4 linked regions of the Stegostoma tigrinum genome follow. The protein of the gene in region 3 interacts with the protein of the main gene of each other region in a pairwise test. Links are inferred from orthologs where the notes say so. Each region holds a gene or a part of one and is shown on either strand. Other genes may lie near its edges.

Region 1 (8,264 bases), on a different chromosome or scaffold from region 3:
TTGTTTTAAACTTAATACTCCAATGAAAATAATTTTCTCAAAATATTCCTAATATGTTGAACCAAGAGACTATTTCCAACTCTTCAAACACTCTTGCTTCCACCTGTAGCAATCAAGATCTGGAGGATAAATTACTTTGGTGGTTCCGTTGACCCTCCACAGTTTTAAGGAGGAAATGCATACTGAAAAGTACAACAAAGGCAAATATGATTGCACTTGTCCATACCCAGGCCTGCTTTTACTGATATATAGTCTTGCTAAGAAGAATACACATTTTGGTATCTGCTTAGAACATAGAACAATACAGTGCAGAACAGGCCCTTTGGCCCTCAATGTTGCGCCGAACTGTGAACTAATCTAAGCCCCTCCCCCTACACTATCCCATCATTATCCATATGCTTATCTAAGGACTGTTTAAATGCCCCTAATGTGGCTGAGTTAACTACCTTGACAGGCAGGGCGTTCCACGCCCTTACCACTCTGAGTAAAGAACCTGCCTCTGACATCTGTCTTAAATCTATCACCCTTCAATTTGTAGCCATGCCCCCTTGTACAAGCTAAAGTCATCATCCTCGGAAAAAGACTCTCACTGTCCGCCCTATCTAATTCTCTGATCATCTTGTAAGGTCTCTATTAAATCCCCTCTTAGCCTCCTTCTCTAAAATGAGAACTGCTTTTTGTCTCACGCCAGAGATGACATGCAAGAATACCAGTTCAAAGGAAAAGCAATATTTATTTTGTATGTACGGAGAATGTTGATCGTTTGGAATGTAGACTCTGGGGCTAGAAGTGTTAACATAATGCATCCATTAATGCTGATTGCTTTATTTAAATTTTGAACCATACAGATTGACTTTAATTTCTCAGGGTAGCACCCCTGAACAATGAGTGAATGGCTGTTACATTTGAGATGAATCTGCAATTGGACAACATTTGTTGGATAATCCTGAATGGTTATCTGTGCAAGGAATTGCACAATCTAAATTGTCAATTGAACTTGCAGTGTGGCAGAGGTGGGTGTACCAGAAGCTGCTTATATTAAAGCACGGGAGGCTGGAGAGTTTGTGATCACTTTTCCCTTTAGCTGTCATACTGGTTTCAACCATGGATTCACTTGTGCAGAATCACCTAAATTTGCCACACTTTGCTGGATTGATTATGGGAAAATACCTACTAGGTAAGGAGTTTGCAAACTATGATGTGGTTGCAATCCTAATTCATTTGGCTTGCCTCCTTGATATTAAAACATCATTTTATTGCATGCAGTTATTAAAATGTATCCCATGGTGACCATGCAGGTGAGAAGCCCAAATAAATTCACTTCTGTTCCCCATCATTTTTATTTGGTTATCAATGACTTATCTTCCACAAATTTTTTCCTGTATTGGTTTGGAGAAATAGAACTTCTCCATCTATCCTGTATAATCAATGAGAGATTGATGCTACGATACCAGTTGATGTTACAAGTAAACAAGTCATATCTCTGACAGAACCCTGGCTTGGTGGATCATGCTGTGATTTGTTTTTGTTTTCATGAAGTGGTCCCTTGCTGAACATAGGCACACAATGCTGCAGATTTTTACTTTAACGATGAAAAGAAGTTTATTAGTCAAAGAAATGAGCATAAAACAGGATAAACTAAACCATCTGTTATAATACCAATTCAAAGATTTTTAAACATACAGTGCAAGTATAATCCAACTAGTAATGGCATTGATACAAATAATGGACATTTCCAAGGTTTGAATTACTGTCTACTTATCTGCATTACGCAGCAAATCATCAACCTGCTTGGGTGTGAAAACAACTTCCATAAAATTCTCTGCTTCCAGGAGATTAATATTGAAAATGACACAATTCTAATTTCAATGTTCAGTTTAATCTGCTCTGCTAGATGGCAGATTGAGGAGCACTGCTCCTGAGATTGCAGGCTTATTTCCAGATTTACTTCTAGATTTCTTCAGTTACTTTAAGTACATGAATAAGAAATCTTTGGAGGTATATGGCGTAGTCCTGCTCCTATTTCTTTATGTGCATATTTAAAAAATGGGAGGGAAGCATGTAGAGTCAGAATTTCTTATTAGATGTTTGATGTCACCTGACACTTCATATCACAGACTCCATCTTAGAACAGGCCACTTGAAGTGTGGCACACCAATGAAAGCATACAGCTTTTTGTTACCAAATAACTTGATGTTTGCCCAGATATGGATGTGCCCATGAATGCAATATCTGTATAGTCTGCTGTAACAAACATCTCAGTGATTGTTTCAATAACACATTAGCCCTATGTAGTCTTGTGTTATGAGGGATAACAAACATTGCCATCTCATGTAAAGAAGGCTGAAGGCAAAAAGCCCATCATTAGGATACCCTGTTGCAAATCACTACAATTCAGGACATTTAAGTGGTGAGGTAATTTAGGTAAAAGACAGGTAGTAAAAGGACAGAACAGTGCAATTAGAGTGCCTCCAATGATCAGGTTTGTGATCTGGAAGAAAAATACATTACAACAGCAAATCTAATGGGTTAGTATTAGTCATTTTGGTGTGTCATAGCTGCCTCAACAGGTTAGGTGGTGTGTCAACCCCTGAAATGATCTAAGTATCTACTGTTTTTACAGATGTTGACTCCAGTGCCTTATTTCTGCTAGTGGGGTCGAGGAGGGGACAATGAACCTCCCTTATGAGTTGGGAAAATTGTTATGCCCTTCAACATGTGCATCCCTTCAATCTCTATTTTTTAAAAAATGACTGAACTAATACAGTTACTTTTTGTTCAATATGACAGTGAAAAGTTTTCATTTGTCACCGTTATCTGGCATCATTTTGAATAAATTAGTAAGGATTAAAGTGCAAGCCCAAACAACATCGGAATCACCTGTCTTGGTGCTGGGCCTACCTCCAATGGCGCTGTGATGCCCATCTGCTGCTGCTTCATCACTGCCAGCATGAGACCCAAGCAGTGACAAGGTTGCTGATCCTCAGGTGCAATGTCTCACCCATAAGCCTGCCTCTGGTGATGTAACCACCACCGATTCTGATGCCAGGTCCTGTGCTCACCCTGGAAAGGTAAGGACTCATTCAGGGTCAACACTGGGCCCAATCAATGTCTGCCTGGTACCTATCAAGGTCTGCTTACCTGGCCTGTTCAGGGTCTGCGGTGGGCTCTCGCTGCTAACGCTGACCGAGCTCAGGACTAGAGGTAAGAAAAGATATACGGCGGGGGGGGGGGGGGAGAAAAAGAGAAGAAAAGAAAGAAAAGTGATCGGAGCAATGAGCTCCTGTTCAGGAGCTCTACTCCTGTGCCATCTTCTTCAATTCTGTCAATAACTCAGAATCTGACTCCCATTAAGAGTGATAGAGGTGTATATCACAAACAGACTCTGGTCCAATTCATCTATGCTGACCAGATCCTAAATAAATCTTGTACCATTTTCCAGTATTTTGCCAATATCGTTCTAAACCTTTCCTATTCATATAGCTATCCAGTTGCCTTTTAAATGTTGTAATTGTACCAGCCTCCTCCACTTCCTCTGGCAGCTCATTTTGTACATGCACCACGCTTTGTGTGAAAATGTTGCACCTTGGGTCCCTTTTGAATCTTTCCCCTCTCACCTTATTCCTATGCCCTGTGGAAAAGACCTTGGCTATTTACCTTATCTATACCCCTCATGATTTTACAAATTTCTATAGTATCACACCTCTGCTTCTGACACTCCAGGGAAAATAGTCCTAACCTATTCAGCTTCTCCATGTTGCTCAAACCATCCAATCCTAGCAATGTCCTTGCAAATCTTTATGAACCCTTTCTAGTTTTGCAACATCCTTGCTATTAGCAGGGAGACCAGAATTGCAAAGAGTATTCCCAAAAAAATGGCCGAGCCAATGTCCTGTATAGCTGCAACATGACCTCACAACTTCTATACGCAATGCACTGACCAAAAAAAAGCAAGCATACCAAACACCACCTTCACTATCCGATCTACCTGTGACTCCACTTTCAAGGAACTATGAAGTTGCACTCTTTGTTCAGCAACACTCCCCAGAACCTTACCATTAAGTGTATAAGTCCAGCCCTGATTTGCCTTTCCAAAATGATTCTTTTTAAACTTGCATCATTTTGGGATTATCCCTTATTTCTAATCTGTATGCATGTGTATTGCTTTACTAGTTGTTGGTAATTAATAAATTTGCTCTTTGACTCAAGAAAGCCTAGTTTAGTTTGCACCTTTTGAAGCATGAGTTCATTTGGGTCTGAGAGAAGGGTATTCACCAGGAAAGGGATCCATTTTTAAAGTGACCTTGTTATAACTAAACAATGGAAAAGTGGATGCAGGTGAATAAAGGGAGCCAGTTCATCTCATCTCACGTCACCCAGACGCTCAACAATTCGGGGCATGCTATCTGGAACCATAACAAATTAAGGAATCCCACGAGCAATGGGAGCATCAGCCACACACCAGTCAGACATGGGAACTATATTGCCGTTCTTACCCTGTGCTGTGTTAAAATTCCGCAAGTCACTAACAGCATTGAGTGTGATCTTAACAACCCTCGGAGTTTCTAAAGAACACTGCTGGCCACCACTTTGTCCAAGAGTGAAGGGATAGGCAATAAAATGTTCCTCTAAAATAATGCAAAAAAAAGGGGGAATCCGGAGATCTGAAACAAAAACAGAAATTGCTGGAAAAAACTCAACCAGTCTGGCAGTATCTGTAGAGAGAAAGCAAAGTTAACATTTTGAGTCTAGTCATTCTACCATACCCTAGCCAGCGACATTCCACATCCCACGAATAAGTGAGTTAAAATACTTGGAGGGTTTTAGCACTAAGGGCGATAAATGAAGCGAACTCTTGTTGGTGCAGTGATAATGGGAACTGCAGATGCTGGAGAATCCAAGATAACAAAGTGTGAAGCTGGATGAACACAGCAGGCCAAGCAGTATCTAGGGAGCACAAAAGCTGACGTTTCGGGCCTAGACCCTTCATCCTCCGTCTAGGCCCGAAACGTCAGCTTTTGCGCTCCCTAGATGCTGCTGGGCCTGCTGTGTTCATCCAGCTTCGCTGATATCTTGTTGGTGCATCCTCCTCCAACCGAAGTGTGGCATAGATGCAAGCGTGTAAAGTCAGTCCTCCAGGCTAGGGGGAGTCGGAGAGGGCATTGTCGATCGGGACCAGTGCTTCCTCCTTCTTGGGCTGGAGCCGGGTTTTTTTTGTGGCTTGCGGATTGCAGGTTCGATGCTCCGCTGCCGTGAGTGAGGTCCATTGTGGTTTCCGGCTGTAGAGAACGCCGTAACAGCCTCTCACGGTAGCCCCTTCTCCACCCCGGTGGGTGACAGGAAGATATCACCTCCCGGCTGTAGGGGAAGGTGAGGAGGGGGATGTGACAGGCACCCGAGGCTGACGCAGTCGGTGGATCAGCGCGGGGAGGGTTTTGGGTTTTCGGGCCCGGTGGCTCGGACCATGGCCTCGGGGAAGTCGGTGCTGTGCGGCGTCGCCAGCCTTTACCTGAGCGGCTTCTGTATCTTTCTGATGGTCGATGTCTACGCTCGGCCGACCAACAACTCAGCCGTCAAGCGGGAGAAGTCGGGCGCCAAGCTGGACGACAACGAGATCCAGCCCCCGAACCACCTGAGCGGGCTTAAACTGGAGAAGGGGGGTGTCCTGAACAAGGATTTCCACCAGGAGGTCTTCCTGGGCAAGGAGATGGATGAGTTTGAGGCGGACTCCGAGCCCGTCAGAAACCGAAAGAAGCTCATTGCCATTTTTGAAAAGTGAGTACTGTCGTCAGCATTTTCTCGGATGGGAGACAGGGCAGGATTTATACACTCAATAGTAAGGTCCTGGGGAGTTGTTAGTCAACAAAGAGACCTTGGAGTGCAGGTTCGTAGTTCCTTGAATGTGAAGTTGCAGGTAGACAGAATAGTGTTCGCAGTTTGGGGCTGGGCCCAGATCTTTTAAAATGACAGTCATTCAGAAAATCTAGTCTCAGTGCTTAATCCTACCCTAGTTGATAATGTTCTAAAACCAGGATAAGTTTTTGTTTAGTAATTGAGTGTGGCTGGTATTTATGCTTGGCACTGATTTCTTGAACCAAGATTAGGAAAGTCACTTGAGAATGTGACACTTATTATTCTTGAATGCACGATTCTAGTATTTGCTTTTTTAAAAAATTCCACCGTGGCTTTTGTTCACGTCTAACACCACACCCTTGGAAATGTGAGCACTTATGATTATGGTATCATCACTCTCAATTTTAAGTGCTCTGTGGTAGTTGCACCTTCAGTTGCCTAGGCCCAAAGTTTTTGTAAACCCTTTCATACACCTGTCTGTCTCTCTGTCTGTCTCTCTGTCTGTCTCTCTGTCTGTCTCTCTGTCTGTCTCTCTGTCTGTCTCTCTGTCTGTCTCTCTGTCTGTCTCTCTGTCTGTCTGTCTCTCTGTCTGTCTCTCTCTGTCCGATGTCCTCAAAACGTTCCTTTTTTGGGTCCTTTAACAAAATCTACTTTTTTGTGCTTTGGTGTAATACTTTTGTTTCAGAACATTCTAAGATGCTTTGCAGAAACATTATATCAGGTTAAAGGTGCTACATAAATATGTTGTTGCTCAATATGCTGAGAATTTCGAGTTAAGTGTCCTCTAGTTTTTTAAACTTGTTCCTAATCTCGATGTGGATCACATTCTGTCTGTACTGTTTACACTGTGTTAATAATTGTACGGTTATCACTACAGCATTTAGTGAGTATATGATGAGCATGAGGTTAGTACATAGAAACAATTTTGTTGTTTTATACATCGTGCAGTTAAGAGTTATACAGTGGCATTCCAAATGGCCTTTGAGTAGATGGTGATGATGTCCCTTTTTGTTGTTGTTGTGCAGTGCCTGTTCGCTTTATTTTGATAACCTTCAATCCTTTGTTTGCACAGCCATGCAAGTTAAACCTAAAGGAGTTGACTTGTGCACAATTTATTTGACTTCTGCATTGCTACACGGTTGTGCATCCCAGAGAGAGCATTGGTGGTGAGCTGTCACTTGAACTGCTACGATGTGTTGATATTCTCCAGTCCTCAAAGGAATTCTTGTATTTTAGTGACAGTAAAGTTCCAAAGCAGAATGATGGGTGACTTGGTGGGAAGCTTTGGAGCTGGTGGTGATTCCATGTATCTGCTGCCCTTGTTCTTGACATGATGCTAGGGACAGATTTGGTAGATACTGTCAAAGGAGCATTGGTAAGAAGTTGTAATTAATGCTGCATCATTATAGAAAATACTCCCTCAAGCCAGAGTGCTGCCGGAGGAATGAATTAAGTTGATGAATGAGGTGATGGGCTACTTCTTATTCTAGGAGTGTTAACCACCTTGATTGTTGTTGCTGCCCTCATTCAGGCAAGTGGGAGGGATTTAACACACTCTTGACTTGTGCCTTGCCGATGGTGGATAGACTCTGGGGAGTTGAGAGGTGAGTTACTCAGCAAATAATTCCCAGATCTGACATGTTCTTGTATCTACAGATTTAATACAATTGGGTGAGTTAGGTTTTAGTCACTGCTGACTCCCAATACATTGGTGGACGGTTCAACGATAGTAATGCCATTGAAGGTCAAGCAGGGCTAGACACATGCTTATCGTTGCTTGGCACTTGTGTGTCATGCATGTTACTCGCCACTTATCTACCACAGCATGAAGGTTATCCGTATCTTCCTGCATCCAGGCCCATTATCTGAGCTGTTCCAACTGGTGCTGAACATTGTGAAACATTGGTTGAAGCAGCTGGAAATGGACTGTACAATTAAATTACTTTTTAACGCTAAGATAGAGAAACAAAGACTTATTTGAAAACTGGACATTGAGCCAAGGAAGAAAATATTTTGAGGCTGTTACAAAATATTTCTTGGTAGAAGTGAACGTGAGTTTAAAAGAGGCAGGAAGATTTTAGAGAGGGCATGGCCACCACAGATGCATGGAACAAATGAAGGTGTGGAGTCTGGAATCACAGGAATAAGTAATTTGGTATAGGGTTGTTTGGCAGGTAAATGGCTTCACTCTTCTCCATAAAGAACTATGAAAGTGAAAATTTAAGGTGTTGAACAAGCAAGATTCGTATCCGTGAAGGAGTGGACCTTTTGTGTAGGATCTGAAACGCAGCAAGTAATTGATTAATTGAAGTTTATGGAGGTTGGAAGGTAGGAGGACACTGTCGCACTGAACATAGAACTAATTGAGCCTGCTTCAGAGTAATACTCTGCTTGACATTTGAGAACATGGG
Region 2 (7,437 bases), on a different chromosome or scaffold from region 3:
CACCCTGGTGAGACAGGTCACAGACAGGTAGCAGCTGAGTGGAAAATTTCCACCTCATCTCAACAGCAAAGTGTAAGAAAGGAGGTTGAAATTCACATGTTCAAAACTACGCAACAATCACACAGTCTTACAAACGTTTATACGGTTCATTCTTCACACCGGTCAGCTCTGAGTACAATGGATCAATATTCAAAAAGATGCGGACCAGAATTGTACACACATTTCAAATTATACCAATTACTTCCATCTTTACACACTACAGCCCAACTTCTCCTCCAGACTTTGGGCCAAACGACATCACAGATGCTGAGTCAATCAGTGAGGTTCCTCTCTTCACATCTGCAGAGATGTGTTACATTCTTGTCTCAAGGGCTACATTAAAAATTAACTTTTCTCTCCTTTAATTCACTTATATCTCAAACTGACTGATACATGACCAAGTGTTTCATTGGAGGTAAAGTAGCTTGGGACACCCTGAGGTTGTGGCAGGCTTTAACGAAATGCAAATCTGTCTTTCTGATCAAAAGATAGAATTACTGTAATTTAGGACTGTAATTCACAGCACAAAAGGCCATTTGACTTATCGTTTCTGTCCTGTTAAAAAAAAAGCTCACCACCCTGATTCCACATTCCAGCTCTTGATCAGTTTAATAGGTTATGGCATTTCAAGTGCAAACCAAACGCCTAAGCGGGATAAAGGCTTATCCCTCTTTGCCTTCCAGGCAGTGAATACCAAATCCCCAGCATCTTCTGGCCAACATAATTATTCCTCATTTCCTTTCTAATCCTTTTACCAACAAAATTACATCATTGAGAGAAACAGCAAGAACTGCAGATGCTGGCATCAGAGTTAACACAGTGTGGAGGTGGAGGAACACAGCAGGTCAGGCAGCATCAGAGGAGCATGAAAGCCGATGTTTCAGGTCGGGTCCTTCATCGGGACTGGCAAAGGGTCCCAACCCAAAACATCAACTTTCCTGCTCCTCTAATGCTGCCTGGCCTGCTGTGTTCCTCCAACTCCACACTGTATTGACTAAATTACATCAATGATCTCAAGTTGCTGTTGAGGGAAATAGTACCTTCCCATCCACGCAATCTAGACCCCTCAAGTCTATCTTTTCATCACAATTAAATCTTCCCATGGTTGCCTCTATTCAATGGAAACATTTCCTCATAGCTGAAATTCTCCACTCCTTGTCACACCCTTGTAATTCTTCTCTGTAACCCTCCAATGTGATCACAGAACTGTACACAGTGCACTAACCACAGCTATATACAATTTAAGCAAACACCCTCCCTCAAATATTCTAGGCTTTGGCTAATAAGGAAGTTATTCCATACACATTCTTTGCTAATTTATTGACTACTCATGTTTTTTTTAAATCAGAATTATGTGGAACGTACTCAAAAGTCTCTCTTTTTCCACAAACTTCACAATGTCCCATCAGCTGTTGTTATTTCTTTGCCCTCCCAAAATCTAATAACTCTCATTTCTGTAGATGGAATTCTGTTTGACTACCTGACCAGCACATTGCCGTCTTGATGCATTTTGCAAGTTTCTCACTCATGGCCCAATTTAAAGTCCAAGTGATCATGGATTGAAAATTTCTCCATCAATTAAGGGTATGCTGCTCAGAAGACCCAATTTCAAAACAGCCCACAAAACCAAAACAAAGTTGGAGATCACAAGCCCTAAAGAATTAAACACATCTATCTATTCAATACCAAACTTCACTGGGATGCTAGAGTTTAGGTTTAGCTCTCATATTCTTTCAAAGAAATGCTAACTACCCAAATAAATTGTGGAAATCCTTCTCAATACAGTGCGCAAAGTCAAATGTGCTGCATCAAGAAATAACAGTGTGATGGAGTATCACAGCAAGCTAGGATTATGGGGTCTCTCCATTTTATCGGTTAAATTCAGTGATTTTAAACATTTTCCAGAAATTAGCAAACTCGGACCAACGCTGCCATGGAGGTAGAATCTCTGAATCACACAGAAAGTAGGATGATCATTCAGCCCAGTGTCTGCCAGCTCTCTACAGAAGTCAGGGCCAAAAGCTCTTTAGTGTTAAGCCAGGGTTGGCGTATCTAAGGGGAAAGGGGTATAGGGTTAGGGATAAGTGGTCAGACTTCCTGTGTAGAGGATGAAGGGTTATAGATTTAGGGATTAACAGTCAGGATTCTATGTGGAGGATGAGGGTTTATAGGGTTCAGGATCAGAGGGTGAGGGGTTATTGTGGTTAGGGAATAAGGAGTCAGATACCATGTGTGGATAGAAAGAGACTCTTGGACTACAGGACAACGACCTAGTGTGAAAGGTGAGCGACGTGGGGCTAGAGTTAGGAATCAGGTACACTGTATAGATTCCCAGGCTTTGCAATGTAGAGACCTGGTGGATGAAGCTGGCTAGAGCTCTTACCCAGCCACCGTGCTGCCGGATCCAAGGGTCCAGGTTGTTCTCCAGGTAGGTACTCATCCAGTCGGCGATGCGGGGCACCAGTGCGCCCATCTCCTTCTCGGCGCTTTCCACACTCAGGGCCGCCCCGAAACAGAAGAAAGCCACCAGCCGGCCCCAGTTAACGCCGTCGCGGAACAGCTCACCCACCACCTGCTCGAAGCGCCGGTATGCCGTGTCCGGCGTAACGCGGAGCTGCGCCGACAGATCGCTGAAAGCCCGGCGGTAGCGCAGCTCGAACTCCTCAGCGGCATCCAACAGGGCCTGGCGGGCCCGCTCAGCCTCGGGCCTGCCATTGCACACAGCCGCTCCGGGCTCGGGCTGTGTCCCCAGGCCCGCCGCTCCATTCTGCTCACAAAGCCATCTCCAGTTGTGGCCCCTCTGGGACAGTTTATAACGAAGGAAATCAGCGACCAGCTCCCCACTACTGTACATCCTGCAGCGTCGGCACCTCACCCAGTAGCCGGCATGACGGACACGAGAGATTCTCTGTTCGAGGCCTGCCCCTTCCCCCCGCACCCACTGGGACCGGGCCTGAGACCCCGCCCACTGACCACGGGGCCGCGCCCACCGCGGGGGTCACCGCCCTGCTAAGGCCCCGCCCTCTACCGGTACCCTGCCCAACTATAGGCCCCGCCCATTCCCCATGGGACCACCGCCTTCTGCCGGGACACCGACCCGCTATAGGCCCCGCCTAATACACATGAGGCACCGCCTCCTGGGCCCGCCCTGCTCACGGAGACTGCGCCCCACATTTACCCGCCTATCCGGGCTCCAGTCACTATCGCAGCGCCGTACCCTACGACCCCCCGCTAACACGACCTTAGTTAGGGTGGAAGGGAAGTTGCAGCAGGCCGTGTTCCTATCCATCTTCTACCCTTGTCTGTCTTCATGTGGATTTGGAAGGTGCTGTTGAAGGATATTTTGGCGCATTTCTGTATAACATCATGTAGAAGGCACAATGCCGCTACTTAGCACTGATGGTGGAGGGAATGGATGTCTGTGGGTGTGGTGCCCATCAAGTGAGTTGCTTTGTCCTGGATGGTGTCAAGCTTCATGAGTGTCATTGGAGCTGCGTTCATCCACAAGTGGGGAGTATTCCATCACACTCCTGACTTGTACCTTGTAGGTGCTGGACAGACTTTGGGGAGCCAGGAGGTGAATTAATCGCTGCAGAATCCTTAGCTTTTGGCCTACCCTTGTAGCTACAGGGTTTACTCCAGTTGAAATTTTTTGAGACGATTTGTAGCTCAGATGAGCTTCACCAGAGGTGCACTGACAATGTTAGCTAGCAGAGTGACAAAACGTCTGAAATCAAACACACCAGCTCGGTGAGCAAACCTACAACCTTACTCCAATTGAGTTTCTGGCCAGTGGTGACCCAGGAGATGTTGGTAGAGATTGCAGTGATGGTAATGCCATTGAGTGTTAAGAGACAATGTTTAGTTTATCTTGTGCCTTGTAGATGGTGGTCAGGGTTTGGGGATTTAACTGTAGCTGCAAACATCTTCTGATCATGAGGACATTGACTTTTATCTGTTGTTCCAGGAAGGTCTGCATTATCCTTGCTATCCAGTCATCTTGTTTAGCTGCAGTTTCTATTCTAACATTGGGATCTCTCTGCACTATACTCCTATGAGGATGTCTGCCAGAAATCCTCATTATTGCATCTGGCTTTATCCTCCTAAATGTATTTTCTGAATCAGTATTCAAACTGGAACTGGGTTTCTCCATTCTCATTCTCATACTGCCTGTTACCAATCCACAGCCTCATGTCATAGAATGTAGAACATTAAAGCACAGTACAGGCCCTTTGGCCCTCGATGTTGTGCCGACCCGTCATACCGATCATATCGATCATGTCGCTCGTCTTGGCCATTTAGCCAATATTTATATTTTCCCACAGATTTGCCTTCACGTCCCACTATTGTGGCACCCTACTTCAGCTGAATCAGTGGCAAGTTAACCACTTGTGAACTTATTTTGGGAAAATGATCCCCACATGAGATAACTTCTTCATGTTCATCATGATTGGTGCTTTTATCAGTGTGTATTTCCTGAGCCCTTAGGTCCTGCCCCTCAGCACCAATTTGTAGAACTCACGGGTACATAAAGTACCTGGTTCTTTGCCGGCAACGCCTTTGCCCATGTTCTTAGAGTCCGAAAATTCATCTTCCTGTGAGTTTTGAAGAGAACATGATAGCTGTTTTTAATGGGAGACTAGATAACTGTATGAGTACTGAAGTTGAGAGGGTCTCAAGTAGAGAATAAATGTTTGTATGGACCTGTTGGGTTAAATGCCCTACCTCACTGTCATATATCAAGAATAATTCTAACTGATTTTGAGTGCTTTTGAGGCATTACTTTTGATCTTCTCAGATCCTGACATTGTTACCTGGTGCCTGTTATGCCCAGATCCTGGGCAAGTTCCCACATTGGATAATCTCAAACTCTTAATGTCTTGGCTTCACTTTGTCCAGCCACTCCTTCTGGGTTTTGGATCCATAGGATCCCTTTATCTTTCAGATGGACTTGACTCCTTTTTTAACGTGCATATAACCAGGTTTTTTTGAATTAAGAGTGAATATATGCAAGAAGAAATACTAATTTTGCATATGTAAAATTTATATAAAATACGAAGTTTGAATAAATGAAATACTTTAAATAAGTTTATGGATGAAACCAAGATTGGTGGTAAAGTGGACAGTGAAGAAGGTTATCTAAGATTACAAGAGATCATTGGGTACTAAAGAGTAGCAAATGGAGTTTAATTTGAAAAAATGTGAGACATTGCATTTTGGAAAACAAATAAAGACACGGCTTTCACAATTAAAAGTAGGGTCTTGGGCAGTGTTGTAGAACAGAGAGACCAGGGGTTTCAGGTAAATAATTGTCTGAAGTTCGTGTCACATATAGAAAGCAGACATTAGTATGCTTGCTTTCATTGCTCAGACCTTTATGTATAGAAGTTGGGACGTTATATTGTGGTTGGACAGGACGTTGGTGAAGCCTCTTCTGGAGTACTATGTCCAGTTCTGTTCTCCCTGTTTTAGGAAGGATATTATTAAGCTGGAGAGGGTTCAGAAGAGATTTACCAGGACAATGCCGGGAATGGATGGGTTGGGTTATAAAGAGAGGCTGGAAAGGGTGGGACTTTTTCCACTGGAGCGTAGGAGGTTGAGAAGTGACCTGCTAGAAGTTTATAAAATAATAAGCAGTATGAATGGCAGTTATCTTTTCTGTAGAGTCGGGGATTTCAAGTCTGGGGGTCATATTTTTAAGCTGAGAGGAAAAATATTTTAAAAAAAGACGAGGGCAATATTGTTACACAGAGACTGGTTCATGTATGGAATGAGCAGTTTTTAATTCATTAACATGATGAGAGCATCACTAGCTAGACAGCATTTATTGTCCGTCACTAATCAACCAAAGGGCAGTTCTGAGTCAACCACATTGCTGTGGGTCTGGAGTCACTTGTAGGCCAGACCAGGTAAGGATGGCATCAGAGATAATGGGAACTGCAGATGCTGGAGAATTCCAAGATAATAAAATGTGAGGCTGGATGAACACAGCAGGCCAAGCAGCATCTCAGGAGCACATGGCAGGATTCTAACTTGGGCCCCCAGAATGCTATCTGGGCCACTGGAATTAACAGTCCAGCAATGAAAGTATGAGGCCATTGCCTCCCCCTTTCAGAGGAATTGGTGGATGCAGGTACAGTTACAATGTTTAAAATGTTTGGAGGGATATGGGCCGAGCACAGGCAGATGGGACTAGTTTAGTTCGGGATTATGGTCAGCATAGACTGTTGTACTGAAGGGTCTGCTTCCATACTGTATGACTTTTTGAACTTATCACCACTAGCCATGGGTAATGTACTCCTATAGTTTGATTCCTGTGAAAGTTCTCCTGTCACATCCAATAACATTTGCTGGATCTTTGCATTTGCTGTGTCCTTCTGGCTTATCATAAACCATGCCACTGGATTTGAAATCTCTCCCAAAGCATCTGATGCAGTATGTCAATGCTCTCCAACCTTTTCAGCTTTAATGAGTGCTTTCACACTGGTGCTGATTGCCAGATATTCTAGGATCATCATGCAGTATTGAAGGCAACATTCTGAGCATGTACTAAGTGGTTTGAGCTAAAACTGCCAACTATTTATAAAGAACATTTTGCATTTACTGCTGATTGCCAGTGCTTTTTGTAACTTTCTGATTGACTGATTTGTCAATATTTTGTGTAGAGCCTCATTACTATCAGATGGTTTCTTTCATGCAAGCCGTTGCTGAATGGACTTTCTGCAACAATATGCATTACTACAATATTTGTATTCACACACATGTCCCCAAATTTGTCATCTGCAAATTCACCTTCATTATCCATTGTGACCCAAGGACTGTACTGGCCCACTTTTCCATGTCTTTTTACGCTATCGTCCACCTACCCTTATTGTTTATCACTGTGTGTATGGTAAACCTGGTCACCATATCTACAAAATCTAATAGACGTTCTGATCTTTGACCCATATCTTCAGATCCATAACTTTTACTTCATTGAATTTCAGACTGTAGGAGCTTACAACCAGGCATGGTGGTGTCTTACAATATTCAATACTAATATCACAATGCAATGTGATTTTTTTGACAAGGGTTTCCTGTTCTTTGCCTACAATTCCGACATCCTTTAGCAGTAGCTGTAATTTTTGTGAAGAGTGGTGAGCAAATTGTATATTTGATTTCCATATAATCATCTTATCTGCCAAACTCATATCTACAAATATTAATAACACTTCTGTCATCCCTTGATGAGAAAATCCTGAATTGTCTCAATGGAATACAGTAATGCCTGGATCCCGTAAATTGCGAATTTACAGCTTTACTGAATACAAATGTTTAGTCATGTTTGGACATGGAGAATGATAATGCTTTTTCATCGAACACTTATTCTACAACATGGTATGTCATTCTGAATGACAT
Region 3 (7,493 bases):
GATTTCAAATAAACCTGTTGGACTATAACCTGGTGTCATGTGACTTCTGACTTTGTCCTCCCCAGTCCAATACCTGCACGTCCATGTCATATAAAGTTCAGGTAGGTGTGATAGTCCTGAATAAGCACCTGGTGGACCACATGAAAATTACAAACTTGCAAACAGTGGAGTGGGAAAATGTGCTCAGCTCCTCAACAGCTTTTCTGACTGTTCCAGGATCTGTGGGTTCTCCCTCTCCATCAAGCATTGAATAATACCTTGGAATCTGAGTGGGACATGGTGGATGAGGGGCTGTTAATTTTGTCCAATCAGGAAGTGTGGGCTGACAGGCATAAACAGGAGTGTCAGACATAATAGGAAGTGCAGACGCTGGAGAATCTGAGATCACAAGGTGTGGAGCTGGACGTCCTTGCCACTGATCTAGCTCCCACTGAGCCAGATCTCAGAGTGAGCAGGATGTCTGACACTCTGAGATCACAAGGTGTGGAGCCAGATGAACACAGCAGGCCAAGCAGCACCTTAGGAGCTGGAACGCTGACGTTTCGGGCCTAGACCCTTCATCAGAAATGGGGGAGGGGAAGAGGGTTCTGAAATAAATAGGGAGAGAGGGGGAGGCAGATTAAAGGTGGATAGAGGAGAAGATAGGTGGAGAGGAGAGTATAGGTGGGGAGGTGATAGGTCAGTCCGGGGAGGATGGACAGGTCAAGGAGGCGGGATGAGGTTAGTAGGTGGGAAATGGAGGTGGGAGGAGGGGATTGGTGAGAGAAAGAACAGGTTAGGGAGGCGGGGACGAGTTTGGCTGGTTTTGGGATGCAGTGGGGGGAGGGGATGAGCTGGGCTGATTTTGGAATGCAGTGAGGGGAGGGGAGATTTTGAAGCTTGTGAAGTCCATACTGATACCATTGGGCTGCAGGGTTCCCAAGCGAAATATGAGAACTGATCCTGTAACCTTCGGGTGGCATCATTGTGGCACTGCAGGAGGCCCAGGATGGACATGTCATCTAAAGAATGGGAGGGGGAGCTGAAATGGTTCGCGACCGGGAGGTGCAGCTGTTTATTGTGAACCGAGCGTAGGTGTTCTGCAAAGCGGCCCCCAAGCCTCTGCTTCATTTCCCCGATGTAGAGGAGGCCACCATGGGAAGAGCGGATGCAGTATACCACATTGCCAGATGTGCAAGTGAACCTCTACTTGATGTGGAAAGTCTTCTTGGGGCCTGGGATGGGGGTGAGGGAGGAGGTGTGGGGGCAGGTGTAGCACTTGCTGCAGTTGCAGGGGAAGGTGCCGGGTGTGGTGGGGCTGCAGGGGAGTGTGGAGTGGACAAGGGAGTCACAGAGAGAGTGGTCCCTCCAGAAAGCAGACAAGTGTGGGAAGGGAAAATTGTCTTTGTTGTTGGGTTCGGTTTGCAGATGGCAGAAGTGTCGGAGGATGATGCGTTGGATCCGGAGGTTGATGGGGTGGTATGTGAGGAAGAGGAGGATTCTCTTTTGTTTGTTATTGCGGGGACGGGGTGTGAGGGATGAGTTATGGGAAATGCGGGAGACATGGCTGAGGGCGTTCTTGACCACAATAGGGCGGAAGTTGCAGTCCTTGAAAAACGAGGACATCTGAAATGTGCGGGAGTGGAATGCCTCATCCTGGAAGCAGAGGCGGTGGAAGCGAAGGAACTGTGGAGAGGGGATGGCATTTTTGCAGGAAGGTGGGTGCGAGGAAGTGTATAGGTAATTGTGGGAGTCAGTGGGCTTGAAATGGATGTCGGTTTCTAGGTGCTTGCCTGAGATGGAAACAGAGAGGTCCAGGAAGGTGAGGGAGGTGTAAGAGATAGTCCAGGTGAACTTGAGGTTGGGATGGAAGGTGTTGGTGAAGTGGATGAACTGTTCAAACGCCTTGTGGGAACACGAGGTGGCACCGATACAGTCATCAATGCAACAGAGGAGGAGGTGGGCTTTAGGGCCAGCGTAGGTGCGGAAGAGGGACTGTTCCACGTAACCTAAAAATAGGCAGGCGTAGCTTGGGCCCATGTGGGTACCCATGGCCACCCCCTTTGTCTGTAGGAAATGGGATGAATTGAAAGAGAAGTTGTTGAGGGTGAGGGTGAGGACGAGTTCGACTAAGCAGATGAGGGTGTCATTGGAGGGAGACTGGTCGGGCCTGCGGGACAATAAGAAGCAGAGGGCCTTTAGGTCATCTGTATGAGGACTGCTGGTGTTTAGGGTCCGGACGTCCACAGTAAAAATGAGGTGTTGGGGACTGGGGAATTGGAAGTTCTGGAGGAAGTGTAAGGCGTGGGTGGTGTCACGGACGTAGTTGGGGAGTACCTGGACCAAAGGGGAGAAAATGGAGTCCAGATAGGTGGAGATGATTTTGGTGGGGCAGGAGCAGGCTGAGACAATGGTTCGACCAGCGGAGGCAGGTTTGTGAATTTTGGGAAGGAGATAGAAGCGGGTGGTGCGGGGTTGGGTAACAATGAGATTGTTCACTCTCACTCCCATCCCCAGATCCCAAGAAGACTTTCCACATCAAGTAGAGGTTCACTTGCACATGTGCTAGTGTGGTATACTGCATCCGCTGTTCCCGTTGTGGCCTCCTCTACATTGGGGAAATGAAGCAGAGGCTTGGGGACCGCTTTGCAGAACACCTCCGCTCGGTTCGCAACAAACAGCTGCACCTCCCGGTTGCAAACCATTTCAACTCGCAATCCCATTCTTCAGATGACATGTCCATCCTGGGGCGCCTGCAGTGCCACAATGATGCCACCTGAAGGTTGCAGGGACAGCAGCTCATATTCCGCTTGGGAATCCTGCAGCCCAATGGTATCAATGTAGATTTCACAAGCTTCAAAATCTCCCCTGCCCTCACCGCATCCCAAAACCAGCCAAACTCATCCCCGCCTCCCTAACCTGTTCTTCCTCTCACCCATCCCCTCCTCCCACCGCAAGCCGCACGCTCATTTCCTACTTACTAACCTCATCCCGCCCCCTTGATCTGTCCGTCCTCCTGGACTGACCTGTCTCCTCCCTACCTACTCACTTCTACTGGCTCCACTCCTGCCTCTTTAACTTGCCTGTCTCCTCTCCACCTGTCTTCTCTATCCATCTTTGATCTGCCTCTCCCTCTCTTCCTATTTATTTCAGAACACCCTTCCCCTCCCCCATTTCTGATGAAGGGTCTAGGCCCGAAACGTCAGCATTCCAGCTTCTAAGGTGCTGCTTAGCCTGCTATGTTCATCCGGCTCCACACCTTGTGATCTCGGAGTGCCAGACATCCTGCTCACTCTGAGATCTGGCTCTTTGGGACCCAGATCGGTGGCATGGGCATGTAAATAAAGGATGGCTTGGTGATGGGATACTGGCTTTGTGGACTTAATGCATTCATGACAATCGTTTGAAAGATTTGTTGAGGCAATGTTCCATTGTTGAACTGTCACATCCACAGTCCCTCAGATATTGACACAGAAAATATTGAAGAAAGAATTTCCTCAGCAAATGTTAATGCAATTATTTGAATCCCTCACAGGCTTAGTTTGAAGATTTGTTTTTTTCATAAGAGGACAATCAGCATCTTATTTTACACAGATTTTGTTTTTCATTGCATGGTATTAAAAATTGATTCAATGTGACTCGCGACTATTTCTTTCTGCTCTATTTAGCATTTACACTTCCCCCAGATGGCAAAAGTCATCAGATTTTCTGAGGCTTCTCTGCATGACTTTGCACTCAATACGCTAAGAAAAGTATAACATTATTATTGAAATATTGCTGAAACACAATTGTTGGAGGGTTTTTCTCTTTACTGCTGTCAACACAACATCACTTAATCTGGCATCAGAAACAAATGAAACAAGCAATTAATTCAGAATCTCAAATTTTCATTTTCATTTGTCTGTTTACTGTCGTCAAGAAATTACATTGGATTAAATTCTTAAAAGCATTTACAGAAATAGAGAGGAGGGAGAGGTGGTAGTTTTTTTTACACATATATACTATATTAATAGCAAACGTACCAGTCACTACAAAAAAAGGGTAACGTGTTCAACATATATTGCTGTGCATTTCTCCATCTGAAAGATTTAAAATACTGCAGGGCTAGTCTTCGGCACATGGCAACAGAAGAATAATTTCCACAGGCGAGACAGATCCAAGATGATGAAGCATTCCTTTCGATTGAAGTTGATGTGTTTTATATAAATGTTGCAGCCGAGGGCGAAGAGGAGGGAAGGTGGGGGCCGAATGTCCCCACGGGTGGTGGGAGGTGGGTTGGAACCGAGAGATGAAAGCCCTTCACAACCACAAATCAGGAGGCACGTCTGCTTTCCTCGAATGAGGACGCAGTGGGGAAGAAGCTGGGCTGCTCAGTTGGAGTCAGAACCAATCTGTTCAAACACCAGGCGCTGGAGCTTTCGGTGGTTTCAGCTCTGGGCTGCGTTTAGCTCAACCATCCTAAACCAAACCTTGATGCTGCAGTGATGTACTGAACAGCTGGGGGAATTATTTTTTTTTCTCTCTCCGATAAACAAATCAAACGGTAAACTTGAACGTCGTGTCGGTGTTTGTGGTTCTCAGATTTTAGGTGGTTTAAGTCACTGTAGAGGCTTACTTATTGTGTGATCTCTGTGTCTCTCTCTCTTTCGCCTAGTGACCAAAGAGTAACCATGGACGTTTTCATGAAAGGGCTGTCCAAGGCGAAGGATGGGGTAGTAGCTGCTGCCGAGAAAACGAAGCAGGGAGTGGCAGAGGCGGCGGGAAAAACGAAGGATGGGGTGCTGTATGTGGGTAGGTAGAAAATTAATGCTTCACATGGCTGTCTTTTCAGACAAGAAATGGCACGGGGTAAAAACACACACAACTCCATTCACCCAATCTTACACCTTTGGGGGGATGGGGGTGGGATGTGTAAGAAACACGGAGGAATAATAGAAAGCTTTCCTTTTATTCTCTGGTAAGAACGGTGTGTGGGGTGATTTGTCAGACGGGGAGGAAGGATAGCTGCCACTTCCAAATCCGAAATATGGAAGTTGCAGAGAAGCAGAGCATCAAGTGTTTTGGCACCGGGAGGGAGGGAGATTTCTTTGTATATGTTTTTTAAAAAAAATCCAGAACTAATCCAGTGCAGATTTGTAAAACGTAAACCGTCGGGTGCTGAAAAGGAATTATTTTCCAACAAATTTAGAACGAATGTAACATTGGATGTGTGTGTGTTAAATTCGATGAGCGGGAAGGTTGCGGTCAAGGTCATTTCGTTGCTGAATTCTGAAGACCTTTTCTGCTGTGTGCACTGAGTTGGGGACATTGACACGTGTCAATGGTAAGGCCAATGTAATTTATTTCCTGCAGCTTGAAATTTAAGGACTTAAACCCGAATTTGATCTATTTTCCTTTAAATTTGAGGTTTTTAATGTTTTCCACGGGCACCCCCCCCCCCCCCCATGTCTGTCTTGCACTAATTTCGGAACTGTCATCATTATTATTATCTATGTTGTTGAAGCAATTTGTTTGACATAACACACCTCAGGCGCAGGTGGGATTTGAACCTGCTGGCAGGCTGTCATTTCTCCAGCGGTCCAGCTAGAGGGAGGAGAGAAGATGCGAGGGTGAGGATGGGGAAGGTACAAGGTCCCGGGGAAGTGGAACAATGGCGTGCTTAACCCCTGCCTAACAAGCAGCTCCCTGTTATTTCCAGATCCCGTGGCTCTTCCCCGGCTGACCAACCCGTTGTCAGTTTTTCCTGCTTTCGTTGATGCTAGCCTTTAACACCTCTCCACGCCTTGGCTGCTTAATTTTGACCTGAGCCTGGGGAAAGAGGATTTGCTGCTGTGATTTGTGACAATTTATTAATAGGGGTTTTTATTTATTTTTACTTCTTCTTTAATGTATTTATCTCTAGGCTCCAGGACCAAGGAAGGTGTATTTCATGGCGTATCTTCAGGTATCAATAATCAATAGAATTCTGTAATGTTATGTGTGTGCTAGTCTCTTTGTCTATATGTGTGGGTCTGTTTCTAAGTACAGAATTAGGAGCACAGAAAGAGGGCATTCTGCCTTCCATCATCTTCTGCTTTCCAGTTAGATCATGCCTGACCTTTAAATTAGTTTACTTCTGTAATCCTGAATATTCCTGCTGTTAAAAATCTTATCTTGGTTTTGAAATTTTCAATTAAGTCACAGCCTCAAATGTTTTTGGAGGAGGAAGTTCCAGATTTGCAATCCACTTTGTATGAGGAATTACTTCTTGACATCACCCCAAATTGGCCTGGTTCAAATTTTAATCTGTATTCTGCTTCTCCACCACCCCCCCCCCCCCACTCCCCGCCGCATCCCTGAGAAACTAGTCAGTCTCTCTGTCTCTTTCCTATCTACTCCTTTGATCGTCTCAAATCATAATTAGAACAGCTTTCATCTCAAGGAAATACAAAGCAAGTATTTGCAAACTTTCCTCAAAAGTTAACTGTTAATCCCAATATGTACAATGGGTCAGACTGACCTGTAGAATAGGTTTGAGCTTTTCTTTGATGCAACATATGAGAGAAGAAACAGCCACGTTGACTGTTACAGTGAGTATAGCGGGAGTATCTTGTACTACTGGCTTTCTGAGTAGTGAGTGTAGTTTCACCACCAGGCTTCGTGTTTAATGCCATTTCCTGTCTGTCTGTACTGTTGGCAGAACCTCCAGTATTACGTTGGTTTGCTACTGTGACCCACATGAAGCTTAAAAGTTGCCAGGCCGTATGGACTGTTTCTGTGTGAAAAATTTCTATTTAATACAAGCCATCATTGAGACTGAAAATGTTAGACGACCTAGATCAAGGTATGGTAATGTTGAGGCTTTAAACAGCAAGAGTGCAGTGTTCAGACATCAATATAGCTTGGCTCTACGGAGCTTGTGTGGATCCAGATATTCACTCATACTTAAAATCACACCTTATCTTGTGTTTAACTACTTATGTTTTCTGTATTCAAAGGCTGAGTTAATTCCTTTACGCATGTATAAACAAACGAGGGCAAGTTGGTGAAAGGCAACATCAAGAAATAGCTCTTCAGACCAAGAGAAATTAACTTGTTTGATTTGGTTTTTCAGATGGTGGCCAGAATCAAAAGTTGCAGACTTATTAGAAAGCTAATTGGATGCTGAGACTGTAGACGATTGGGAAATGATGAGTTCCGTGAGGTTGCCTCACCTGTGCAAACCTGTGGTCCTTTGTAACAGAATTATTTGGAGTACTGTTCTGTAAAGGTGGAGCATCTGATATTTCCACATGTAGCAACTTTCTATGTGACTGCTACCACTTGCTAGAGCTGTTGAAAATGGAAAAATGACCATGTGTATAAGTGCTGATAGATGCCAAACATGCATCTACCTTTGAGTAACATTTTAATTCGTCTCTGATCACTTTCCTAAAGATTTTTAATTTGACTCTTGCTCCTCTTGTTCCCTCATGGTGCAGTCCCAAAGGCTATAAGACCATAAGACATAGGAACAGAAATTAGGCCATTCAGCT
Region 4 (7,882 bases), on a different chromosome or scaffold from region 3:
GTGTAGCACTTCCTGTGGTTGCAGGGGAAGGTGCCGGGTGTGGTGGGGTTGGAGGGGAGTGTGGAGCAGACAAGGGAGTCACGGAGAGAGTGGTCTCTCCGGAAGGCAGACAAGAGTGGGGATGGAAAAATGTCTTGGGTGGTGGGGTCGGATTGTAGATGGCGGAAGTGTCGGAGGATGATACGTTGTATCTGGAGGTTGGTGGGGTGGTGTGTGAGAACGAAGGGGATCCTCTTTGGGCGGTTGTGGCGGGGGCAGGGTGTGAGGAATGTGTTGGGGGAAATGCGGGAGACACGGTCAAGTCATTCTCGACCACTGCAGGGGGAAGTTGCGGTCCTTGAAGAACGTGGACATCTGGGATGTGTGGGAGTGGAATGCCTCATCCTGGGAGCAGATGCGGCGGAGGTGGAGGAATTGGGAATAGGGTTTGGAATTTTTGCAAGAGGGTGGGTGGGAGGAGCTGTATTCTAGGTAGCTGTGGGTGTCAGTGGGTTTGAAATGGACATCAGTTTCTAGCTGGTTACCAGAGATGGAGACTGAGGTGTCCAGGAAGGTGAGGGATGTATTGGAGATGGCCCAGGTGAACTTGAGGTTGGGGTGGAAGGTCGGCGCCACCTCTTGCTCCCCAGAGGAGCTCGAACACTTCACCAACACCTTCCACTTTCCAACTGTCTTTTACCTGCGAATCGTCTCTCCTAATCAACTTTTGAAAGTTCTTGCCTCATACCATCAAAATTTGCCTTACACCAATTTGGAATTTTAACTTTTAGATCAGATCTATCCTTTTTGATAACTATTTTAAAAATAATAGAATCATTAATCACTGGCCCAAAGTGCTCCCCCACTGATACCCCAGTCACTTGTCCTGCTTTGTTTCCCCAAGTGAAGGTTAAATTTTGTTCCTTCTCTAGTAGGGTACATCCACATACTAAATAGGTATTTTTTTCTAGTACACATTTAAAGTCCTTTCTATCGAAGACCTTAACACTATGGCTGTCCAAGTTTACGTTTGGAAACTTGGAATCTCCTACCATTACAACCCTATTATTCTTATAGATGTTTTGAGATGTCCCGTGGAGATGGACATGGAAGTCAGAGACCTTGGGAAAATAAATAGGAATATCTTGTGAACTGCACATATTATAAAAGGTAGTGGTGATGGATGTCTTAAAACACAAAGGTGGATTAATCACAGGGATCCAATCAAGTGAATCCCAGAACTCTGCGGGAGCTAGGGAAAAGATTGCTCGTCCACTTGCTGAGATATCTATATCATCAACAGCCATGGCTGAGATGCCTGAACATTGGCCAATGTGGTGCCACTATTTAAGCAAGATGGTAAGGAAAAGCCAGGGAAGTATAGACTGGTGAGCATGACATCAGTGGTGGGTATGTCGTTGGAGGGGATTCTAGGGGTCTGGATTTATATGTATTTGCAAAGGCAAGGGCTGATTAGGGATAGTAAACATAGCTTTGTGTGGGGGAAATTAAGTCTCACTAACGTGATTGTGATTTTTTGATGAAAGACAAAGAAGATTGATAAAAACAGAGTAGTAGATGTCATTTACATGGACCTTGACAAGGTTCCACATGGCAGGCTGGTTAGCAAGGTTAGATCATGTGGAATCCGGGGGAAGCTAGCCAATTGGATACAAAATTGGCTTGAGGGTAAGAAACAGAAGATGGAGGTAGAGAAGTACTGTACCTCCCAGTCACGCGCCTTTCAACTCTCCCTCTGACTCCTTGGATGACACGTCCATCCAGGGCCTCCTGCAGTGCCACAACAATGCCACCCAAAGGTTGGAGGAGCAGCACCTCATTTTTCGCTTGGGAACCCTGCAGCCCAAAATCTCCACTCCTGCAACCGCATTCCAAAACCAAGCCAGCTCATCCCCACCTCCATAACCTGTACTTCCTCCCACCTCAAGCCCCACCCCCATCTCCTACCTACCAGCCTCTGATTTACAGCATCTACAGTTCTTTTGGTTTTTATGAAAAGAAAATGTGTGTGTATCAAAAGACGACTGGTCAAAAAGTTAAAACTTGGACAGAACGAGGAACACCAAGATAGCTATACCAGTGAAAACTGAATTAGACGTATACCTAGAAAGTACAAATACTAAAATGAACCTATATTACACCACAGTGTAAGAACTAGTACACTACTGGCATGTTAATAATAGGTAGTAAATCACAAAGTTTCTGTTTAATTGTAAGGGGTTCACTCTGGGAATCATTTCTAAATTTTACAACACAAAACGGGGAAAATACATAGTCCATTCACAATCTGTAAAGAAACAAATGACGGATCGACATTTCATCAGAACGAATCTCCTACATCATCGTAATCTAAAGATCCGGCTAGACAGATGTATAAATGTCCATGAAGCTGCAATGCACTCTTCAGCATTCAACTAATATTACTCTTTTTTCAAATAGTCTCTGCTCCGGCGCTAACGTGGCAGAACAATATGAGCGTTGGGTTTATAGAAGTGAGTGCATGAAAGAGAGAGGGAGGAAGCAACAGTCTCTATGAGGTGAAGGTTTGGTTAGGCACAAACCAAACGACTGGAGTCCACTGTTTATAATGAAATGAAATCACTGAATGGCCAACATAGCTGTACACCGCTGCAGCTGTCCAACCACTAGCTCCCCTTCAGGATGATTTGCAGACAAGGGGACGGGGACAGGAACAACAACGAGGCCTCAGCCGGCAAACACACACCTTAACTTACTCATCACGACTCACTGACTGACAAGAGGTCTGGACCAATCCCAGAGGCCGCTAACCTCCCTCCGGCCAATCAGCTGCCGGGGAGGAGGGCGGGACACAGCCGCCATCACCCTTAGGTTGACTGACTCATTTACCGGCTTTTTCATCCCGGCGACGGACGGACAGGCTCGCAGCCGCCTACTCACCTCTCCAAGGTCGCCGCTTCGGTTGACACTAGGTCCCCTTCAAAAGAAAGGCGCGTTCAGCCTCGGTGCGAAAAAGAACAGCGAGTGAAACCCGCTAGTCAGTCCGACACCAACCACCTCAGGAACAGGCGGCCGCCATCTTTGACGACGTTGCATTTACAAGAGGCTTTTGGGTAAAGTGGCCTCTGCACAGTGTTGAGTGATGATGTGTGAAACTGGGTGGAGGTGTGTATGAGGTATCAATGATGAGAGCATAACATATCGCATAATGCATACCGGTGTATTAATACCTCCATTGGCTCCTCCTTGTCCCAACTTCACCACTTTTGCCATCAATCCCCCTCTCCTAGGATACTTCCATGGTAGCTTAATGAACCAATTCATTTTGGCTCATATGAATAAAGAGCTAGAAATTGTAAATCTTGAAAACAAAAAATTGCTTGAAAACAAAAGATATCCAGCACACCCATTCAGCATCTGTGGCCAGAATATAAGGGTTAAAAATGGTTCATACCTTGTTGTAGCCAGGTGTACAGCATTTTACTTTTTCAGCTATGTTGAAAAATATGAATACAGTAACTTGCTGTAGGTGCGCACTAATAACAGCGCAATGAGGGCAACATGAAATATTGGACTTGGTCTGCCTGCTTAACAAAAATACGAGATGGCATTTCTATTTAACACCTACATTGGGCTATCTTGAGATGTTGGCGGGGAGCGTTTCCAAGCAAAATTTGACTTCCAAGCTGCAAAATGCATTTTTAATCAAGTGACTGAAAATTTAAACAAAGTGGTGGGTTTTAATAAGATTAGGAATGTAGAGAAGAGAGATTTAGTGAGAGATTTCACAATAAAGCTTAGGCGTACATAATCAGAAGTGTGCAAGAGAGCCATATTAGGATGATTAGCTGGAGTACAGAGATCTTGAAGGGTTGTAAGGCTAGAGGAGGTTACAGGTCTGGGCAAGGCCATGGAAAGATTTGCAAGGAAGTATAAGCACCTTGATATTGATGAATTGCCAGACTTTTCAGTCAATGTTGATTTGTGAGAATTGGTTTACAAAGAGTGCAAAGTGGAAAACCAACCAGCAAATCATTGACGCAATCAAGCCTAGAGGTACCAGGTGAATATCTCAGCAGCAGATAACCTGAAACAAGGGTGGAGACAAATTATGTTATTGGAGGTAAAAGTAGCTGATTTTGGTGATGGAATATATATGAGATTGGAAATTCATTTCGGTCAAATAGGAAATCAAAGTTAGGCATGTTTGATTGAAATAATATCCAGAGAGGGATGAAGTCACTGACTGGCATGCAGAGTTTGTGGCAAAAGTCCAAAATGATTTAAGAATTCAGAAGGAAAGAGCATAGAAGGGAAGAAGTGTGACTAAAATGGCTGGAATAAAGTTAAATCAGGTATAGAAAAAAGGGAGTGAAAAAACACCTGTTTAAAGAGAAAGGAAAAGTAACATAAACATTTTTAAAAATTGAAATTTTAGAAATCACAATAATTTACAGCCTGCAAGAATGTGATAGTACCATATAAATTGTTCTCCTTCTGCCCAGATGTTGATTGAAGCAGTTGAAAATAGTATCTCCACTGTCAATTACCACTTCTAACTTTCTGTAGCTAGTTTAATGAGCACATCATGTAAAAATCCAGAACAGTTCTTAAAAATAACAAGGTAGTCTGAGGTATCGCCCTTGCAAAGCAGAGTTTGTGAAGGAATGGAAATTGACCAGAGTTCCAGAAATTTATCACCCATCTTGGCTACAAGATCACTAAAATTGAGACCAACATTTAATGCCACTTCCATCCATCTATCGTTCCCACCAAGCTAAACTTCACCTTTGTCCTAATTTTGAAATTTGACAGTTTTGGAAGACCAGATATTCTATCCATTAAATATGGTTAACTGCTTACTAACATGGTAGGTGAAGTTACAAACTCTGTTTCTTAGAAACAAGATTTTCCCTTCTTCCTCAGCCACTTTATTGTTGTTGAACTTTTGACCTTATACCTGGCTTAGGCAGGACCTCCCAAATTCATTATCATTTTCGAGGAGGAGTGAGGTAGCGGGTACATGGCAACTATGGCTTCAAGTTCCCCTCTAAACCACTCACCGTCCTGAATTGGAAGAATATCACTGTTCCACTATGGCTGGATTAAAATCCTGGAATTCTCTCCCTAAGGGCATTGTGAATTAAACTACAGCGCGTGTACTGCAGTGGTTCAAGAAGGCAGCTTACTACCACCTCTCAAGGGCAGCTAGGTATGGGCAGTAAATGCTGGCCAGCAAGCGAAGCCCACATCCGATGAGGAAAAAAAAAAGAAACAGAAATTTTGAAAAATTAGCAAGGAAGTAATGCTCAATTTGTAAATTACTGCTGTAGAATCATTCACGTGCACCTCAACAAGTACATGGGGCTTTAGCGTGATATCTCATTGGAACAAAGGCGTCTCTGGCAGTATAACTCTCTGTCATTATTGCACAGTGGGCACCCAATATAACGTACAAAATATCCATTGAGAAGTTTTGCTGGTGATGGTGCAGAAGAGTGGGAGCAAGGTAAGGCAAATTTAACTTAACTATTATTGAAAAGGTGTTGGTCAGCTTCCTTCTTAAACCACTGCAGTGTGTATAGTGTTAAAATATCCTTCGTACTGTTAACAAAGGAGTTCCAGAATTTTAATAACAGGAAAGAAACAGCAATATATATATATATACTCCACCCCACAATGGTGAGTGGCTTGGGGAGAACTAGCAGGTTATATGTTCCTTGTTTCTGTAGGTAGCTGAGGTAACAGTTTTGCAAAGTGCTATAGTTCACTGCATATGTGAGACAAATGAGGCATTCCACACCAGTCTTCACCAATTGCTGTCCTGCATCCCCAAGGAAGACAGGTTGATTCTCCGTGGGAACTTCAATGCCAGAATCAGGCGTGATACCAACCTTTGGAGAGGCATGTTTGATAAGGAAAACATAAGGAAAATAAACTCCAACAGAGTCCTATTCCTGATGAAATGCATGGAATGTGACATTGTCATAACAAATACCCTGTACCACCAGAGGAATGACTTCAAGATTCCAAGATTTCTTGGCAACCCACCCCACACTCCAAACACTGACACTTGATAGACCATATCATAATTTGAGCAAGAGGCTGCAAAGGTGTCTGCATCACCTGCACCAAGACCAGAGCTAATGACTGCTGGACAAACCACTGACTAACCCCCTTACCATCTCCACCAACCTGGCCCCAAACCATCAAAGGCAACAAAAAAATCTCTACCACAGAGTACTCAATATTGCTGGTCTCAAAGACCTTGAGAATAAAGATGTACCCAGGCAGCGCCTCACATCCAAACTGGAGGTGATCAACAGATTCACAGGGTGCCCACAGTGCCTGGTCCACCCTAAAAGCCACCATGGTCACATCTGCTTGAGGCCACTCGGCCTGTTGAACAGGAAACACTAAGACTAATGAATGATCAAGAGATCCAGAATCTCCTAAATTGCAAACATAAGGGTTCCTGGACTGGCAGCTCTACCAAAACTTGAGTGAGAGGAAGGAAGTGTAAAGATGATTGAAGGACAAGATGAAACTAAGAGCCTGAGAATTATCACCAATGCTGCCTTTGCAAAATCTTGCAAATCCACTGGCAGGATGGGCAGTGAGCATCCTCTCCTAGGCCAATATCCACAGTGTGATGGCACAGGTTACCCAATCTGTGACAAACAGGCCACATTGTCCACATATCCAACCCAAGTCCCCCTAAATGAGTGCTGTACACTGAGCTCCACAACGGTAAGCAGTCACTAGGAGCATAGAGGAAACAGTACAAGGACAGCCTGAAGGCCTCACTGAAAAAGTGCACCATCCCCACTGACACATGGGAATTGTTAGCCCCAAAACTCTCAAACTGAAGAAACATCTTCAAAGGCACTGACCGCTTTGAACATAACCTAATAGAGCACTGAGTCCTGAGGAAGGGTCACTGGACCCGAAACGTCAACTGTGAATTTTTTTCGTCACAGATGCTGCCAGACCTGCTGAGCTTTTCCAGCACGTCTGTTTTTGTACCTAGTGGAGTAGATGAAGACTAAATGCAACAGTGGAAAGAGTGCACACTGGTGTAAAGAGTGAATGTTTAAGGTGCCAGTCTTGCAGAATGCTTTACCTAGGATGGAATCAGGCTTCATGGGTGTTTTAGGAGTTGTATTCGTCTCAGGAAGTGGAGAATATTCCATCGCACTCCTGACGTTTGCCTTGAAGTTGGTGGATAGACCTCAATGAAGAACATGAGTTACCTATAATATTTATATAGTTGGTTCAACTAAGATTCTGGTCAATGGCAATCTCCCAGGATTTTGATTGTAGAGATTAAACATTAATTGTCCCATTGAAATCAAAAGGAAATGGTTGTATTTTTCCTTGTTGGAGATGGTCACTTAGACATTTGTTATGGTGCAAATGCTACTTGCCATTCATCAGCCTAAACTCTAATATTGTCTGGCTCTTGTTGCTTGTGGGCATGCACTTGATTCATTTTCTGGGGAGCTACAAAAGAGACTAAAGACTAATCACTATAATTCCCTACTTCTGATCTTAAGATTGTGGGAAAGTATTGCTGAAGATGCTTCTGTCTGGCCATTACCTTGAAGAATTGCTGCAGCAGTGTTTTGGAAGGAAGATGATTGATCCAATACCAAAACCAGTCTCTCCTATATCAGCTATCATTCCACTTAGTTTTGCCCCAGATCCCCACTGAGTTCAATTTTGCTCAGCCTCCTTGATGCTACACTCAGTCAAATAATTTTTTGATATCAAGGGCAGTCGCTGTCACCTCACCTCAGGAGTTCATTTTTCTTGTCACGTTTGGAACAAGGCTATAATGAGGTTTGGAGCCAACCAGCCTTAACAGAGCCCTAACTGAGCGCTGACATGCAGATTATTGCTG

Evidence for each region.
Region 1: the proteins of alpha-synuclein-like (region 3) and sdf4 interact in a two-hybrid assay, tested with the Homo sapiens proteins (2 studies listed by BioGRID and IntAct). The link is inferred for Stegostoma tigrinum from reciprocal best matches to the Homo sapiens genes SNCA and SDF4.
Region 2: the proteins of alpha-synuclein-like (region 3) and bcl2l1 interact in binary tests that used the Homo sapiens proteins (3 or more experiments, as listed by UniProt). The link is inferred for Stegostoma tigrinum from reciprocal best matches to the Homo sapiens genes SNCA and BCL2L1.
Region 4: the proteins of alpha-synuclein-like (region 3) and arfgap1 interact in binary tests that used the Homo sapiens proteins (3 or more experiments, as listed by UniProt). The link is inferred for Stegostoma tigrinum from reciprocal best matches to the Homo sapiens genes SNCA and ARFGAP1.

The regions. Positions count from the first base shown.
Region 1 is NC_081381.1:29,565,457-29,573,720, reverse strand, and holds the start of sdf4 (45 kDa calcium-binding protein), read left to right. Parts: upstream 1-5,179; 5' UTR 5,180-5,464; coding exon 5,465-5,775; intron 5,776-8,264. UniProt on the Homo sapiens protein: May regulate calcium-dependent activities in the endoplasmic reticulum lumen or post-ER compartment. Isoform 5 may be involved in the exocytosis of zymogens by pancreatic acini.
Region 2 is NC_081372.1:57,848,468-57,855,904, forward strand, and holds the start of bcl2l1 (bcl-2-like protein 1), read right to left. Parts: upstream 3,116-7,437; 5' UTR 2,894-3,115; coding exon 2,423-2,893; intron 1-2,422. UniProt on the Homo sapiens protein: Potent inhibitor of cell death. Inhibits activation of caspases. Appears to regulate cell death by blocking the voltage-dependent anion channel (VDAC) by binding to it and preventing the release of the caspase activator, CYC1, from the mitochondrial membrane.
Region 3 is NC_081354.1:9,864,456-9,871,948, forward strand, and holds the start of alpha-synuclein-like, read left to right. Parts: upstream 1-4,302; 5' UTR 4,303-4,522; intron 4,523-4,633; 5' UTR 4,634-4,649; coding exon 4,650-4,770; intron 4,771-5,881; coding exon 5,882-5,923; intron 5,924-7,493. UniProt on the Homo sapiens protein: Neuronal protein that plays several roles in synaptic activity such as regulation of synaptic vesicle trafficking and subsequent neurotransmitter release.
Region 4 is NC_081372.1:31,569,762-31,577,643, reverse strand, and holds the start of arfgap1 (ADP-ribosylation factor GTPase-activating protein 1), read right to left. Parts: upstream 3,091-7,882; 5' UTR 2,920-3,090; intron 1-2,919. UniProt on the Homo sapiens protein: GTPase-activating protein (GAP) for the ADP ribosylation factor 1 (ARF1). Involved in membrane trafficking and /or vesicle transport.